2 linked regions of the Pelodiscus sinensis genome follow. The protein of the gene in region 2 purifies or fractionates together with the protein of the main gene of each other region. This does not show direct contact. Links are inferred from orthologs where the notes say so. Each region holds a gene or a part of one and is shown on either strand. Other genes may lie near its edges. The genes, in order: FIP1L1 and CPSF2.

Region 1 (7,879 bases), on a different chromosome or scaffold from region 2:
AGCTGCTCTACCCCAGGTGTCCCCAAGTCAGCTGCTGCTGAAACTGATCAGTGGCTGATTCCAGGAAGCCCAGGGCAGAGCAGCTCTGCCTCAAGCTTCCTGTAGTCAGCCGCTGGTCAGATTCAGCAGTGGCAGAATCTGGATGCCTGGGACAGAGCAGCTGGGGCGCTGCCAGGTAGGTCCCCGCAGCGCCACACCTCGGCACTGCGGGGAGCAACCCGGCAGCACCCCAGCTGCTCTACCCCAGGCGTCCTGATTCAGTCGCTGCTGAAACTGACCAGCGGCGAGAAAAGCCTGGTCTGCTGAGGGGGGGAGGCACTAGCTGCGCCCCTCCCTCCCCCCAGCAGACCAGGGAGACGCGGAGCGGCTTTTCTCGCCGCGGAGGACGTGGGCGGCGGGACCGCGGCGCGTCTCGGCGGTCCCACCGCCCACGTTCTCCGCGGCGAGAAAAGCCTGGTCTGCTGGGGGGGAGGGGGCACACTAGCTGCGCCCCCCCCCAGCAGACCAGAGAGACACGGAGCGGCTTTTCTCGCCACGGAGGACGCGGGCAGCGGGACCGAGATGCGCCGCTGTCCCGCTGCCTGCGTCCTCCGCGGCGAGAAAAGCCGCTCCACGTCTCCCTGGTCTGCTGGGGGGGGCACTAGCTCCACGTCTCACTGGTCTGCTGGGGGGAAGCGCCACCTGCGCCGCCGGAGGCGGCGACAGTGGGGGAGGCACCCCGCACTAGCTGCGCCCCTTCCCCCCGTTTGTAACTAGGGGTCCGACTTAAGTCGGATTGACCTAACCCAGGGACTGCCTGTACTGCAAATTACAGCAGATATCCCTAAGTCCTATAATAATACATTTAAGTGTGAATGAAGTGGGCTCCCAATGTAACAAAAACTACATTAAAGAAATCTTAGTCCTTTTTTACAATGATATGGATAATGCTGCACTTAATTAAAAATGGATTTTCATATGTAAGATTGAAAAGCCCCAATTCTAGAGAAAGCTATTTAAACAGTTGAACTGGCAGATCACACAAATGATATGAAGGAGATATTCAAAGGTAACCATTTAGGTGTCCAACTCCCAACGATGTAACCGCAAGAAAAAGGTGTGAAATTATGTTTTAATACACTTTTTGCACAACTACATTACCAGATTCACAACTTATCAAGACACCCACCTAGCTTTTTGTTCCTCTGGTCTCTCTGGTTCATTTTCATCTGTCAAAAGAAAAACATTATTTAAATATTATGTATGAGAAACCCTAGAGTCAAAAATAGCAGTTTATTGCAAGCTTATCCTATACCAAATAACTTTATTTAAGCAATGATCCCTGAATAAATTTGTGGGCTCTCCAGTCCTGAGTTAGATATATGTGCTAAGACATCTGACCCAAGACAGCACCCCCTTAAGCCAACAGAGCTCTACAAATAGACCCTTACAGTATCAGTGTTTTAGTTTGCAGGCAACAGTAATGTGGTTAGGGTACAAAATTGGTATGTCTACACTGCAGCTGGCAACAATGGCCCACTCAGGGAAAACAAATTCATCCTAGTGAGGTGCAAGGTAGCACTCTTAAAACAGAAGTATTGATGGTGTAGCTTAGACTGCATCTTAGACTCACAAGACCAGTTCATATTCCTAATGTCAGCATGCTAGCTGAAGCCCCACTAATGAGAGTGTCTACCCAGGCTGGAAACTCACTCCAGTGGCAGATTAGACATACCCACCAAAGTGAAGCTCCATAGTTTCAAACAAACAAAAGAGAAAGATTACAGTATTTCAAATGTGATTATGTATGTGAAAATTTAAGGGCCTAAGAATATTAAAATAATTTTAAGATAATTTATATGAAAGGCATAACAGAAAACAAGGTGTTGATCTTGCTATCTTTATTCATGAAAGCAATCATGGATTTTGGTGGAACTAATGAGATGAATGAGGGGCCAATCCTGCAGCCCTAAATGTAAACTCAGTATTCCGTATCAATCACATCTCAGAATTTTCTCAAAGTGTTGGAGACACTACTACCTGTCAGAAAATAAAATACCGTTTGATACACAAACATGCTTTTGATCAGTCATTATATTCTAACCTTCCAGTCCAAAACGAGTGGATTTGGTACAAATTATAGACTGAAGCACTATAGGAACCCAGTGTCCAATCAGCCTTTTCCTCCTAGTTCTAAGTAATTCTACAGAATGGGAAATTACACTTGGAAGTACACATTTTAAATCTTTGGTATGTCAAAGGAGTCTCTCACCTCTAGATCTAGGTAGGAGCTAAATAGGATGGTGATGGAAAATTTACAAGGCCAGAAAGAAAGACTCATGGACCTTTTAAAGGGGGCCGCATTTGTGGGAGCACATAACCAGCCAGGAGCTGCCTGAGGCTTATGGCGGAAGGGGGGTGGCCGGATAATGGAGAGCTGAAAACCCAGGAGGTCAAGCGAAAGGAGGGGACCAGGCAGAGATGGGGCGGGGAGCAGAGAGCCGCAGGCCTGGGGATCACTGCAGTCACACTGGAGCCCGGGGGTGCGCCGTGACCAGCCTCCAGTCCGGCCACACTAGCGCAGGTGGTTCCCGCACCAACAGGCCAGGCCGGCAGCCCCCGGCGCGGCTCCTGCGGGAGATGGGCACGCGGTCAGAGGCAGCAGGCCCGGCCCGGCCCGGCCCAGGGATCGGCCTAGGCGATGGGAGAGCGGCTGCTGCGCACGCTAGGGCCTAGCGCTCCCCTTCCGGCCTTTCCCCGTCCCGCGGCGCCAGGGAGCGCGAGGCGGCCGGGCCAGGCCGGGGCCTAGGAAGGTGCGTACCGCCATAGAGCCACTCCTCCTCCTCATCCCCGCCGGCCCCGCTCAGATCCGCCGCCAGCCGCTCCACCTCGCCGGCCGACATGGCCGCCTGCCCTGGACCGCGCCGGCCCTGCGCTGCACAGGCACAGACCGCGCGCGCAGCTCCCCGCGGCAGCCGAGCGGCGGAGGAGGAGGCGGCGGCCGGTGTGTGCAGCGCCCGCCCTCCCCCGCCGAGGAGCCGCCGCCGCCGCTCGCTCAGCGCTTCCCCTCCCCCCGCTGAATGACTGACACACACACAGGAAAGGGCCGAGCCCCGCAGCCCGAGGAGCACTGGGACTGCGGGGAGGAGTAGGACACTGCTGGGGGTTGGGGCGGGGAAAGGGGGCCTGCCCCCTCTCCCAGCTGGGCACAGTGCGGGAAGGAGTAAGAGGTTCTGGGCCTTCGCCGTGCGGCACAGTGGGAAGAGGAGCCTCTCCGAGGGGCCACCCTGGGGGAGAAAGATACAAGCCGGCGTAATGTAGATTTTACAGCGGCCTGTCTCAGGCCCACCCCCCGTGGGGCCCTTTGCTAACCCAGCCCTGCTAACTAGTGCCACAGAAATTGGGCTTCCCAAAGTCAGGGAAGGCGGGAAACGGACACTTGCCTGCCACCAAAGTTATAAAAATCCTCAGCCCAACAATAAAAAGTCGATTAAAACAAATCACTGGGAAGACTGCAAGGGGGCAGGTGTTTCAGTCTGCAGGGGAGTGAGCCCTTACCCAACAGGAGCATGCTCAATGCAGCTTGGACAATCCTCCAGCCAACAGGCCCACATTAAGGGAAGCCTTCCCCAGGCTACTGGCAAGAGGAGAAATTAGCCTCTCTTACTTTTGGAGGAGAGGGTAGGAGCTGCTGTTTTATCCCTTCCTACCCACTCACATAGCATTATTCTGCATCTCTCTGTACTGCAGCAAGGATCCATTCCTTACCTCCTTGTTTTTCACCTGCTCCTCTCCCATATTTTCCCTCCCCTACAGGCGTGGCATCCTAACCTTCTCCTTTTCTGTCAGTCTCCCTCCCCTATTCCCTTTAGCAGGGCCGGCCCGAGCCATTCCGGTTCCCCGGGCAGACAGTTTAATTGTGCCCCAGGTTGGGGGAGGGCACATGCACGGCCCTGCCCCCGCCCAGCATGTGGGGGAGGGCATGCGGAGCTGGCGGCAACAGGACACACATGCCCAGCCCGGCTATCGCCATTGGCGCACCGCCAGAGGTGGGCCGAGTCTGGCTGTGTAGGGCCCCACAGCCGCAGGGGGAAAGGGCGCTGCTGGCTGGCGCTGCGGGGTTTAACGTGGCCCCCCGCCCCAGGCGGCCACTGCAGGGTGGCCGCTGGGAGCTGCTGCAGTCCAGGATCCAGGTGCGCGGCACCTGATGGCAGCTGTAAGGGGTGCTGCGTGCCCCTTTACAGCTGCCATCAGTTGCCTCCCCATAGGTTGGCGCCCTGGGCAGCAGCCTGGCCAGCCCTTGCCTTAATCCAGCCAGCCCATGCCTTAATCCTGCCCTGCCTTTAGGCATTTCTACTGCACCCTGTATTGCCATGCCTTCTGGCTGTCCAGTTAGCATGGAAAGTGAGATGATTTTTCTTAAAGACAACATTTCTTCAATCTCTTTTTCAAAAGTGAAAGTTACTTAAAAATTTCTTACAGGTACTGTCCTATTGCAACCTGGGATCTTGCCAGCTCTTTAAATAGTTTTTGCCACAGCTCAGTCAGCTCTTGCCAGAGCTTCACACCAGGGCATACACCCTTACTTTCCCCACTGCACATTTTAAAAACGATAGGCAATGGCTACCATCTTTGTTACGGAAAGACCCTCATAACTAAACCTACAAAAATTGACAGGACTCAAAGGTAATTGCAGAATGTGAAACTACTTTTACATCATTTTTTAAAACTTAAAAGTTTTCAAGTTTAAAGCAAGTCTTCAGATGAATACTGATTATTTTAATTTCAGGAATGCTTAAATATTTACACAGGCAATAATTAAATCAGACTACAGAGAACTGCCAAGTAAATTATTAATTCTTCATTAATGTAATCATTCTGGATTTAAACTGGTTAATCTGATTTTGGCTAGTGGTCTTTCTTCCAAACTGGCCCATAAAGAGAAATAGTTGCACTTTGTGCTGTACAGTATATATAAAAACAAAACAAAACCCTCATGATTTCCTGACAGAACTTCCATTGCTTTGACTTTGCATAATCATGAAAACGGAAGTTAAAACATTAAAAAATAAAAACATAACACTGGAAAAGCAGAAGAAAACAAAAACAGTTTTTTCAGCCTTTATCTGTGATGTATCAAAGCAAAAACTTTAAGAATTATAGTCTCCAAGATCATTCAACCTGACAACAAATTAATTCTGTATGGCTGTGTCTACACTGGCCCCTTCTTCGGAAGAGGCATGCTAATTTCTAACTTTGGAATAGGGAAATCCGCGGGGGATTTAAATACCCCCCGCGGGATTTAAATAAACATGGCCGCCGCTTTTTTTCCAGCTCGGGGAAAAGCCGGAAAAGAGCATCCAGACTGGCGCAATCCTCCGGAATAAAGCCCTTTTCCAGAGGATCTCTTATTCCTACTTCAGGTTGGAATAGGGAAATCCGCGGGGGATTTAAATACCCCCCGTGGGATTTAAATAAACATGGCCGCCGCTTTTTTTCCGGCTCGGGGAAAAGCCGGAAAAGAGCGTCCAGACTGGCGCGATCCTCCGGAATAAAGCCCTCTTAGAATAAGAGATCCTCCGGAAAAGGGCTTTATTCCGGAGGATCGTGCCAGTCTGGACGCTCTTTTCCGGCTTTTCCCCGAGCCGGAAAAAAAGCGGCGGCCATGTTTATTTAAATCCCGTGGGGGGTATTTAAATCCCCTGCGGATTTCCCTATTCCAAAGTTAGAAATTAGCATTCCTCTTCCGAAGAAGGGGCCAGTCTAGACGTAGCCTATGGTTTTAAGCCCAGTAGCCTGGTGATCAACCATCACCAATTCTTTTGGCATTAATTGTTCACATCAAATATTTTCCAGACTAATTTTATTTTTCATATTGTTGAGTACTCTAAAAGTTTATACCACATTTAGTAGGTTAAAATAATAAATCAGAGCTGAGATTAAATAAAGGTACAAATCAGAGGCAAGAATTGAAAAAAAATGGATGAGAGAGGGAGTTGGAGGGAGATGCACCAGAGCTGGAATTAAAAGAACATTTTCCTGCCATTTATCACCACAAAAGATGAGAAGTGCTTATTGTCAGGCCCATTACTACTTGTCCTATCTTCACCAGACAATGAGAACAATTAAACACAATCTTCTTTATACCGCCTTGCATATCTGAAACCTGTTATCAGGTCTCACCTCAGTCTTCTTCTCTCAAGACTAAACATGCACAGATATTTTAAGCTTTCTTCACAAGTCCGCTATTCCAAATCTTTCACTGTTTTTTGTTGCTCTTCTCTAGACTCTTTCCAATTTGTCCACATATTTTCTTAAAATGTGGCACACAGAACTGGATACAGTATTCCAGTTGTTGAGGCAAAACAGAGCAGGAAAATTATCTCTCATGTCTTACATATAACACTCTTGTTAATATACCTATTATAACCTGAGGGGAGGGCAAGAACCTAGAGCAGGGGTATTCTAGGCTGCCTATGCTTCCACATCACTATTGGAAGGGCCAGGTTGCCAGTAGAGAAGTCTGTGACGCTAAACCTTTTTAAACCGCGGACCGGCAAACACACTGACAAACTTTGTGTGGACCGGTAAAATTTTATTTGCATACATGCACACCCATTACGCAAATAATATATATGCAAATAAAATGTTATCAGCAGGTGGCTGCTGCAGCTGAAACTGGCTGTTCATGGAGGCTTGGGGGCCGGGGCTGGGGTATACCCCAACCCCTGAGCCCTCCAGTGCCAGCCCCAACCCCTAAAGCCCCCCCACTCCTCCAATACCCCCAAGCACTAGCCACTGATCCCAGAGTCCCCTGCACCCAACTTTCCCAGTGCCAGCCTCCCACCCTCAGAGCTCCCCAGTGCCAGCCCCCGCCCCTTAGAGCACCACCACCACCAGACCTCTCCAGTGCCAGCCTCCTGTTTCTAGAGCCCCACTGCACTCAACCCCTCAGAATACCCCCGTGCCAGCCCCCAGTCCCCAATGTCAGCCCTGTCCCCAGAGCTCCCCAGTGCCAGCCCTGCCCCTGTAGCTCCTCCACTACTATCCCTGCACTCAGAGCCCCCCAGTGCCAGCTCCCCACCTTGGATGCCCGAGAGCTGCCCAGTGCCAGCCTTCTGCCCCTTAGAGCCCCCAACACCAGCCCCGCCCCCAGAGTTCCCACTGCCTGCTCCACCCTGCATGCCTCCCAGCTGAGCACTGCTGCCCAGGTCACCGCTGTTCTAAGGCTGCCATGCAGGGCTCTGCACAGTCCTCCTTCTGCGCAGCAAACCACTCATCTGCATCCAGGAGGAGCTCTCACCCCTGCCGGGTGTTGGCTGGCTGAAAGGCGGGGTAGGGTATTCCTTTCCCAACAGCCACGACAAGAGAGGAGACGTTGGGCAGTGTACCTCAGCACTGGCCCCCTGAGCCACTGCGGCCCATCAGCCAGCAGTTTGTGGCCCAACACTGGGCTGTAGACTGGTGGCTGAAACTGCTGAGCTAAACAACGTAGGAAGTACCATCCAGCAGGACCTCAGTGATAACCCCCCATAGACTACTGACTGGCCTGCGCTGCTATAGAAAGCAGGAAACCATCATATGTAGTTGTCCATGCAATGACACAGACTATTTGCTTGCTTTTGCTCCAGACCTTTCCTCACTGTAAAACTTAGTCTCTGGCTTCTGACTCTGATTTCTGTTAGTGGCCTGCAATCTGTCACCTGGTGGCAGCCTGACCCTGACCTCCTCCTATCCTGACTCAGTCCCCAGTTTTAGGGACAAGAGGCTCCTCCTCCTCGCCATTATGGTCTATTCCTCAGACACTGTGATCTGCTCCTCACTTTGTGTTGCATCTACAGTATACTGATTCCTGACTGAAATGGACAGGTGCCTGGGTGCGGTGTGGAGCATTGTCTAC
Region 2 (7,837 bases):
TCGGGGCTTTTTTGCAGAAATCAAATCTCAGCTGTCTACACTGCCCCTTTTGCGCAAAAGGGACTTTTGCCCGAACGGGAGCAGCATAGTATTTCCGCAAAAAGCACTGATTTCTTACAGTAGGAAGTCAGTGCTTTTGCGGAAATTCAAGCGGCCACTGTAGACAGCTGGCAAGTTTTTCCAGAAAAGCGACTGATTTTCCAGAAAAACTGGCCAGTCTAGACACAGCCATGGGTGTTGGGCAGATGGGGGAGATCAGCTCCCCATAAAACAAACTTTCCTCTAATGCCTAAAGAATGTTGGGGGCAGAAAGTGGGGGTGCAGAGTTTCGTACAGTCAGGGACGTTTTCTGGGGGTGTGTCTAACCAGCTCCAGTCACACCTTGCAAGGGAAGAAGATGCCCAGCCAGAAGTAGCAGCTGATATTAGCAAAGGATAGGGTTGACTGGGTGGGGCACCCTCATCCCCCCATTCCCTCCCCCTCTCTAATCCCAAATAGTTATTTTTCTCTGTCCCAGGCACCTGAAATGACAAGTGGCCACTCTTGCAACTTCCCTTTGTTTCCCCATCAGAAGTCATATTTTTTTACAGGGAAGCAAAAAAATTTGAGGGATCCATGAATACTTTGTGCACAGAGTGATGCAGAATTCCTCCATGAGTAAACCATTAATTGTTTCACCCCATGCAGAAACCTTGTTACACTGTCAAAGAAAGCTATTAGGTTGGTTTGTCAGGATTTGTTTTTGTCAAATCCATGTTGACTGTTAATTATTACCTTATTATCTTCTAGGTTCTGGGTACTGAAGTTAAACTGACAGGTCTGTAATCCTCCAGGGCTATTCTTAATCGGGTTTCTAGAGTCTAGCACTATATTTGCTCTCAGTCCTCCAGAATCTCTCCAGCCTTCCATAAATTTTCAAAAATAATAGCTATTGGCTCAGATATTTCTTCAGTCAGCATCTTGAGTATTTCAAGATATATTTCCACCAGGCCTTGCTGACTTGAAGTTATCTAACTTGTCTAAGAAATTTTTAACTTGTTCTTTCTCTAGCTCAGCCTCAACTCCTACTTCATTTTCATGTCAGTCACTATGTTAGATGTCCAATTGCCACTAATCTTTTTGGTGAAAAATGAAAAAAATCATTTAGCACATCAGCCATGTTTACATTTTCTGTTATTAGTTCTCCCTATTGTGTAACAGGCCTATCCTGTCCGTGGTCTTCCTCTTGCATCTAATGCATTTCTAGAACATTTTCTTCTTCTTTATGCCACTAGCTAGTTTGATCTCATTGTGGCTTAGCTTAATTGTGTCCCTTCCTGCTTGTGGTGCTTTTTGTTTTTTAATACTCCGTCTTTATAATTTGATCTAATTTTCCTTTCTATAGGATTCTTTTTTGAGTTTCGGATCATTGAAAATTTCCTGGTTGGATCAAAGTGGTCTTCGGCTATAATTCCTATTTTTTCCGCAGTGAGATAGCTTGCTCACACCCCTAATAAGTTCTCTCTAAAAAACTGCTCACTCTTTCAAACTGTTTTCTCCTAGGCCACATCTAAACTTACTGTGCCAGTAATCTTCTGGCATTTGATTTAGCAGGTCTAGTAAGGACTCGCTAAATCGAACGCTGAAGGCATCCCTGGTTGATACAGGTACTTTTTGATTCATGAGGAGTAAGGGCAGGGGTGCCCGCTGATGACGTCACGGGCGCCCACCAATGATGTTAGTCCATTAACTGCCCTGCAGGCGGGGGCACCGATCGCATGCTCTGTCTGGGGCGCCAGCTGCCGCAGCCGGCCTCAGACCGCTCCTGAGTAAGGGAAGTCTCAACAGGAGCATTTGTTCCCATTGATCTCTCACTGCAGAAGCAGCGCCAAAATAAGGTTACAGTATGTCAACTCTAACTATGTTATTTACGTAGCTAGAGTTGCACACTTTAAGCTAACCTTCTGAGTCTTGTATAGACCTAGCCTTACACTTGCTGCCAATGGGATCTTACCTACCAACTCAAGTTTGCTGAAGTCTGCCTTCTTGAAATCCATTTTCTTTATTCTGCTGTCTTCCCTCCTATTCCTTAGATTAATAAATGCATCATTTCCTAGCTATCATTACAATCATGCAGGAGGGTTTTTTAATATAACTTACAAAATACTAATGAAAGCAGAGAATGAGTTAGGTCTCCTTTGTCTAAAGATTGGACATGATTAGTCTTGAGAAAAGGAAACAGAGGGGACCTGAAAATAGTCTTCCAATATGTTAAAGGCTGTTATTAACAGGATTAGGTTCAACTGGTTTCCATGTCCACTGAAGGCAGGACAATAAGTAAAGGGCTTAATCTGCAGCAAGAGAGAACAGGGTTAGATATCAGAATGTTTTTCTAACTGGAACAGTAATTAAGTTCTCATCCCAGGGAACTTCTATAACACCCACCTTTGGAGGCATTTAAAAGCAGGCAGGGATGGTTTAGGTTAACTCGCCTGAGGGGGAGGGGATGAGCTAGAACACTTCACAAGACCCCTATAGCCAGGGTCCTTCATTCAATGGAATCTGTTCCCAGCGCGCACTCAGAGAGCAGACTCTCATCTCCACCTCCTTCGGTAGGTGCCCCCCTCGCTCGCGGTGGGGAGGGTCTCGCCCCCTCCGCTCATGGAGGCGAGTTCCGATCCCAAGACATCCCGGCGGCAGGGAAGCGTCTTCCCCGCGCTGTCGCGGATGCCGGGGCGCCGCAATAAACTCCCCCACCCACATCAGCCTGGGCCGAGGGGGGGAGGGAAGCGTTCTAGCTTGTCAGGGGCCAGCATGCAGCGCCCTGTCACCGGCTCCGCCCGGGAACGGGGGGGAAGCGAAGCGAGGCAGCCTGGCACCTACCTCACCACCAGCCCTACGCCGCCCCTAAACGCAGCGGGGACAGCGCAGAGGAGACCCGGCCTCCTCCTCAGCCAGACCCCGTGTCTTCCACAGCTGCCGCCATTTTGAAAACGGGGGGAGGGAGAGGAGGAGCGGCTTCGGCAGCTGGAGAAAGCGAAAGGGGAATGGACGGTCCCATTCTGAACCCGGGGGAGTACATCTCAGGACCCTCGGGCCTTGAGGTTTCGCAGCCCCATTATTATGCGGGCTGGGCCACAGAGTCTCAGAAGGGTGGTGGGTAGAACGCTGAACTAAAAGCGACCGGGGGAAGCTACCTCCCCTCTACAGCTAATGGTCTGACCCAGTAGGCTGGCGGCTTTTCCGATAGCCAGTCGAGTGGCCCCAGTTGCCCTTGGGCTCGGCGCAGGCGGCGGTAGGCCTAGGCCCGGCGGCAGGTGAGCGGGGCCTGGCGGAGTGCGTGGACGAGGCTAGCCCGCGGGTTGCACGATTGCCTACAGCTGGCAGCTCTGCTGGTGCCTTCTCGGCTGGAAATAGGGATCCACCGTGTGGAGAGCCGGGGGGCGCTCGGCGGGGGGGGGTACTTTAGAAATACAGGGCCCTGCAGAGTGGCTTTCTCCCTCAGCTCGTGGGGCACTAACACCGTAACGCTACTGGGAGCAGTCGGGGGCCGTGCGGGGTGCTATAGGGCCTTACCTGACACAGGCACTCCCCTGAAGAGCTTACCAGTAAGGGCCCTGCAAATCCACAGAGATCCCCTTTCTAGCCATAAGCGGATATTTGTAGCTTACTTTTGCGAATAGCAAATTTATATCTAGAATCCTGCAGCTTGGTTAGAAGTCCGTGGGTATCCGCAGCTGTGCATATCCGTGGATCATTTGTGCTGGTGCAGGCATGGCTGTGGATTCTATTTTTGTATCCATGCAAAGCTCTACTTAGAAGCAGTGTTCAGTTTCGCTGTGCGTATGTGGTGTTTTACTCCTCAAATACATCCCAAATCGAGGGGTGGCTAGGCTTGTGAAACTAAACATAAAAAGCCTTTCAGACCTGAGTTTTATTTATGTCCCTACATGCATTTACTGTAATATTTAAAAAACGTTTGGGTGTTCTGCTGCTTTTAAGGTGCCTGATTAATACTCTTGGTTTTTATTGTTTAAAATCTGTATTATGCAAGGACTAGTTCAATGATTTTAAGCTCCTAGTAGGCCAGGGATGGTCAATAATTTTTGCAGGGGGGTAATTCTAAGAATATTTTAAGTGTTCACAGGCTGCACTTTTCTGTTATATTAATGAAGAGAGTTGAGGAGGGAGCTCTGGGAAGGGGATTGGGCTGCAGGGTCTGGGAGGGAGTTTGGGCCCAGTTGGGGGAGTTTCTGACCTGGGGTTGGGATGTAGAAGGATGTGCAGGGTGTGGTCCTAAACAGTCCATGCTTCTCATAGCTGACTCCCAGCCCAGTGGGGAATTCAGGCAGGCTGCCTAGGTGCTATGGTAGCCCCCATGTCACTCAGAGCTGCTGCATTGCTGGCAAGTGTGCCTTGCTTTTTTAATATCCAACCTAAACCTCTCTTGCTGCAATGTAAGCCCCTTGCTGCTTGTCTTGTTCTCCGGGGTTAAGGAGAAAAAATTATTTCCTTACTCTTTGTAACAAGCTTTTAGGTATTGTGTTCCCCTCCCCCATTTTTCTCATTTCCAGACTAAAACCCAATTCTTTCCAAATCTGTCTTCATAGGTCATGTTTTCTAGACATCTAATCATTTTTTGCTCTTCCATGGACCACCTTCAGTTTATCCACATCTTTCCTAAAATCTGGCAACAGACTGGCTAGCTTTTCATTCCGTTCCCTGGATGCTAAGGGAGTGAGGGGAAAGTGCTTGCATTCCTCTCACACCTGGCTGGTGAGCTCCCTTCATGGAACACAAGCAGTTTCTTCTCACTCCCTTAGCATCTGGGGAAAGGGATGAAAAGCTAGCTGCGTCCCGGAGTGCACGGCTACTGCCCCTCCCATGCACTCGAAATGGTACCCTTGTCTGGCACCCAAAATTGGACACAGTACTAGAGTTAAGGCCTAATCAGCAGAGTAGAGTAGAAAAATTGTTTCTCGTGCCTTGTTTACAACACTCCTGTTAATATATCCCAGAAAGATGTTTGGATTTTTTTCTCCAATTTGATCACATCTTTTTTAACAGTAATGCCTAAAACTGGACACCGTATTTCCAGTTGAGGCCGCACCAGAGCCATGTAGAGCAGAATTACTTCCCATGGCTTATACCCCTGTGATCATATACCAGAATGGCAGTTGCCTTTTTCAGGACAGTATCATAGTGTTGATTCGTATTCAATTTGTGATCCCCTAAAACAGTGGTTTCCAACCTTTTTGATACCGGGGACCAGCAAACCCATTAAGAAACGTTAGGCAGACTGGCAACATTTCATTTGTGTATTTGTATATTCATCATGCAAATGATATATATGTAAGTAAAATATTACCGGTCTGCCCCTGATTGCTTGGTGTCATGTGCAAATTTTATAAGCATCTCTCCACTCTATCATTCAAGTCATTAATGAAAACATTAACTAGTACCAGACCTATGAGAGTCCCTATCTGATAGATCTTTCCAGTTTGACAGTAGATTATTGATAATTACTCTTTGAGGATGGCCTTTTAACTAGTTGTGCAAGCACCTTACAGTAATTGCATCGAGATTTATAGATGAATGCTATAGAAAGTCCCGCTTTATAAATGATTGTTGAAAACAAGTACAGTAAAACTCTAGTTGTCCGGCATCTAGTGGTCCGGCACTCCTGATAGTCTGGCACCACCTGGAACCTGGAAGTGCTCCAGGCAGCTGGACAATTGGAGCAGCTCTGTCCCGGGCTTCCCTGAGTTAGCCGCTAGTCAGTTTCAGCAGCGGCTGATTTGGGGAAGTCTGGGGCAGAGCAGCTGGGGTGCTGCTGGGTTGGTCCTGCAGCGCCGCGCCCCATATTCTCCCCCACCCCACTCCAGACCTCTCATAGCTCCCCCTTCTGATAGTCCGACATATTTGATAATCCGGCACCCCATGGGTCCTAAAGGTGCCGGATTATTGGAAGTTTACTGTATTCTGTTTTACAGCAAGACAGACTCCTGGTAACTGGTGCATTGTTACAATGATTTCTGGTGAGGGCATTTTCCATAATCAATGCAAATATTCAACCTTTGACCACCTTAAAATAGTTTATTATTTGGGTTACATTCCTGTTCATTTAGGGCAAAATTCTACTCTGTACTGCAAATTCAATATAGAGTCCTGTATCCAGGAATCTCATGTGGATTTGGGAGCAGCATTTTTCTCTTGTTAGAATGTGTGCTGGCCTTCAAATATTCAGGATTGTATTGAAAAAAGCCCATTATAGATAGGTATATTATAGGTATAGGCAGTCATTTCTGTGCTCAGGTTTTTCTGCCTCCTCCTGAACCCTCCAACTTTTTTTTTTTTTCCTTTTAGCAGTCATGGTGAATGTTGTCAACTTTGTGCGTGAACATTGGGTCCACATTTTGTGTCCAATGGGATTTGTTATTGGTTGCTATCTGGACAGAAGGAATGATGAAAAACTGTCAACTTTTAGAAACAAGAGCCTTTTATTTAAAAGGTTAGTTTGACACAACTTTTTAACAAAATAATCTGCTTAATTCTGCTTTCTTGTTGACATGAATTATGTCATGTTTTTATGTTGGCTACAAAGGAAAAAGGATTTTGTCCGATACCTTCTGTCCTGCAAAATGTTCAGCTCCTTGAGAGGTGCTCAGTGTTCTAAACTCCTATTTAAATTAGCTGGAATTAAGCAAACTTGCAATCCGTCCCCATATTAGTGTCATAAGAATGGCCATACTAGGTTAGACCAGTGGTCCACCTAGCCCAGTATCCTGTCTTCTGAAAGTGGCCACTGCCACATGGCATATTGCCATAGAGGGAATGAACAGAAAAGGGCAGTGATCAAGTTTTCCAGTCCCAACTTCTGGTGGTCAGTGGTGTAAGGACTCCCTAAGCATGGGGTTGGCTCCCTGACCATCTTGGCAAATAGCTACTGAAGAACCTATTTTCCATTAACTTAATCCAGTTCTTTTCTCAACTCAAGTTATACTTGTGGCCTTCGCAATATCTTCTGTCAAAGAGTTTTACAGGGTAACAATGCATTGTGTAAGGAAACACTTTCTTATCTTGCTTTAAACCTGTTGCCTACTAATTTCATAACACATGGTTCTTGTGTTATGTGAGGGGGTAAAATAAACTTCCCTATCCCCTTTTTTTCCATACCAGTAATAATTTTATATAAACATTTATCATTTCCCCCCTTAGCTGTCTTTTTTTTTAAGCTGAACAGTACCAGTTCATTGAATCTCTCCATGCTAGGGGAGTCACCAGTTTAGTCCTCCTCTGCTCCCCCTGTTATCCCTTGGCTTGCCTGCTCCTCTGCCTGCTGGTGGCAGCTAGAGCCTTCTCTCTGCTCCCAGCCCAACCCTCCTCCATCTCCACTGGCAGGAGAAGATGTGGTACAAGCTTTCCCCTCCTCCCAGGGTTGGGCCAGTTGGGGGGGGGGGGGCAGGAGAGGGCAGTGGCGGCACAAATTTTTCTTTTGCCCCTGGGTGCATAACACCCTGGCTAAGTCTCTGTAGATTAGTCTGCAAAAGTCCGGTGCATTATTTAATTGTATTCTTTTTTTTTCTCTCGTCCCCCTCCCCCCCAAACACAGGGAATTGAAACCCGGCGAAGAAGTTACCTGGAGATAAAGACCATCTATGAAATGCTTTTGCCTAATCAAATTTGATTGTATAACATATGGATGATGTCTTTGTTACTATGTCATCCGTGGAACAAGAACCATGGCTTTACACTTGATGTACTTCGTTGCTAGTCTTTAAAAAGTATAAAGCCACTGGAAAGAATAAATACAGTGTGGTTTAAAGCATACACAATAAACAGAAAACTATGTAAAACG

Evidence for each region.
Region 1: the proteins of CPSF2 (region 2) and FIP1L1 purify together in Homo sapiens (affinity purification with mass spectrometry; 7 studies listed by BioGRID and IntAct, with this or other methods). This does not show direct contact. The link is inferred for Pelodiscus sinensis from reciprocal best matches to the Homo sapiens genes CPSF2 and FIP1L1.

The regions. Positions count from the first base shown.
Region 1 is NC_134715.1:86,076,721-86,084,599, forward strand, and holds the start of FIP1L1 (pre-mRNA 3'-end-processing factor FIP1), read right to left. Parts: upstream 3,059-7,879; 5' UTR 2,883-3,058; coding exon 2,801-2,882; intron 1,209-2,800; coding exon 1,169-1,208; intron 1-1,168.
Region 2 is NC_134714.1:30,841,441-30,849,277, forward strand, and holds the start of CPSF2 (cleavage and polyadenylation specificity factor subunit 2), read right to left. Parts: upstream 3,018-7,837; 5' UTR 2,863-3,017; intron 1-2,862. Other genes in the region: NDUFB1 (NADH dehydrogenase [ubiquinone] 1 beta subcomplex subunit 1), read left to right, coding at 6,351-6,490, 7,592-7,628. UniProt on the Homo sapiens protein: Component of the cleavage and polyadenylation specificity factor (CPSF) complex that play a key role in pre-mRNA 3'-end formation, recognizing the AAUAAA signal sequence and interacting with poly(A) polymerase and other factors to bring about cleavage and poly(A) addition.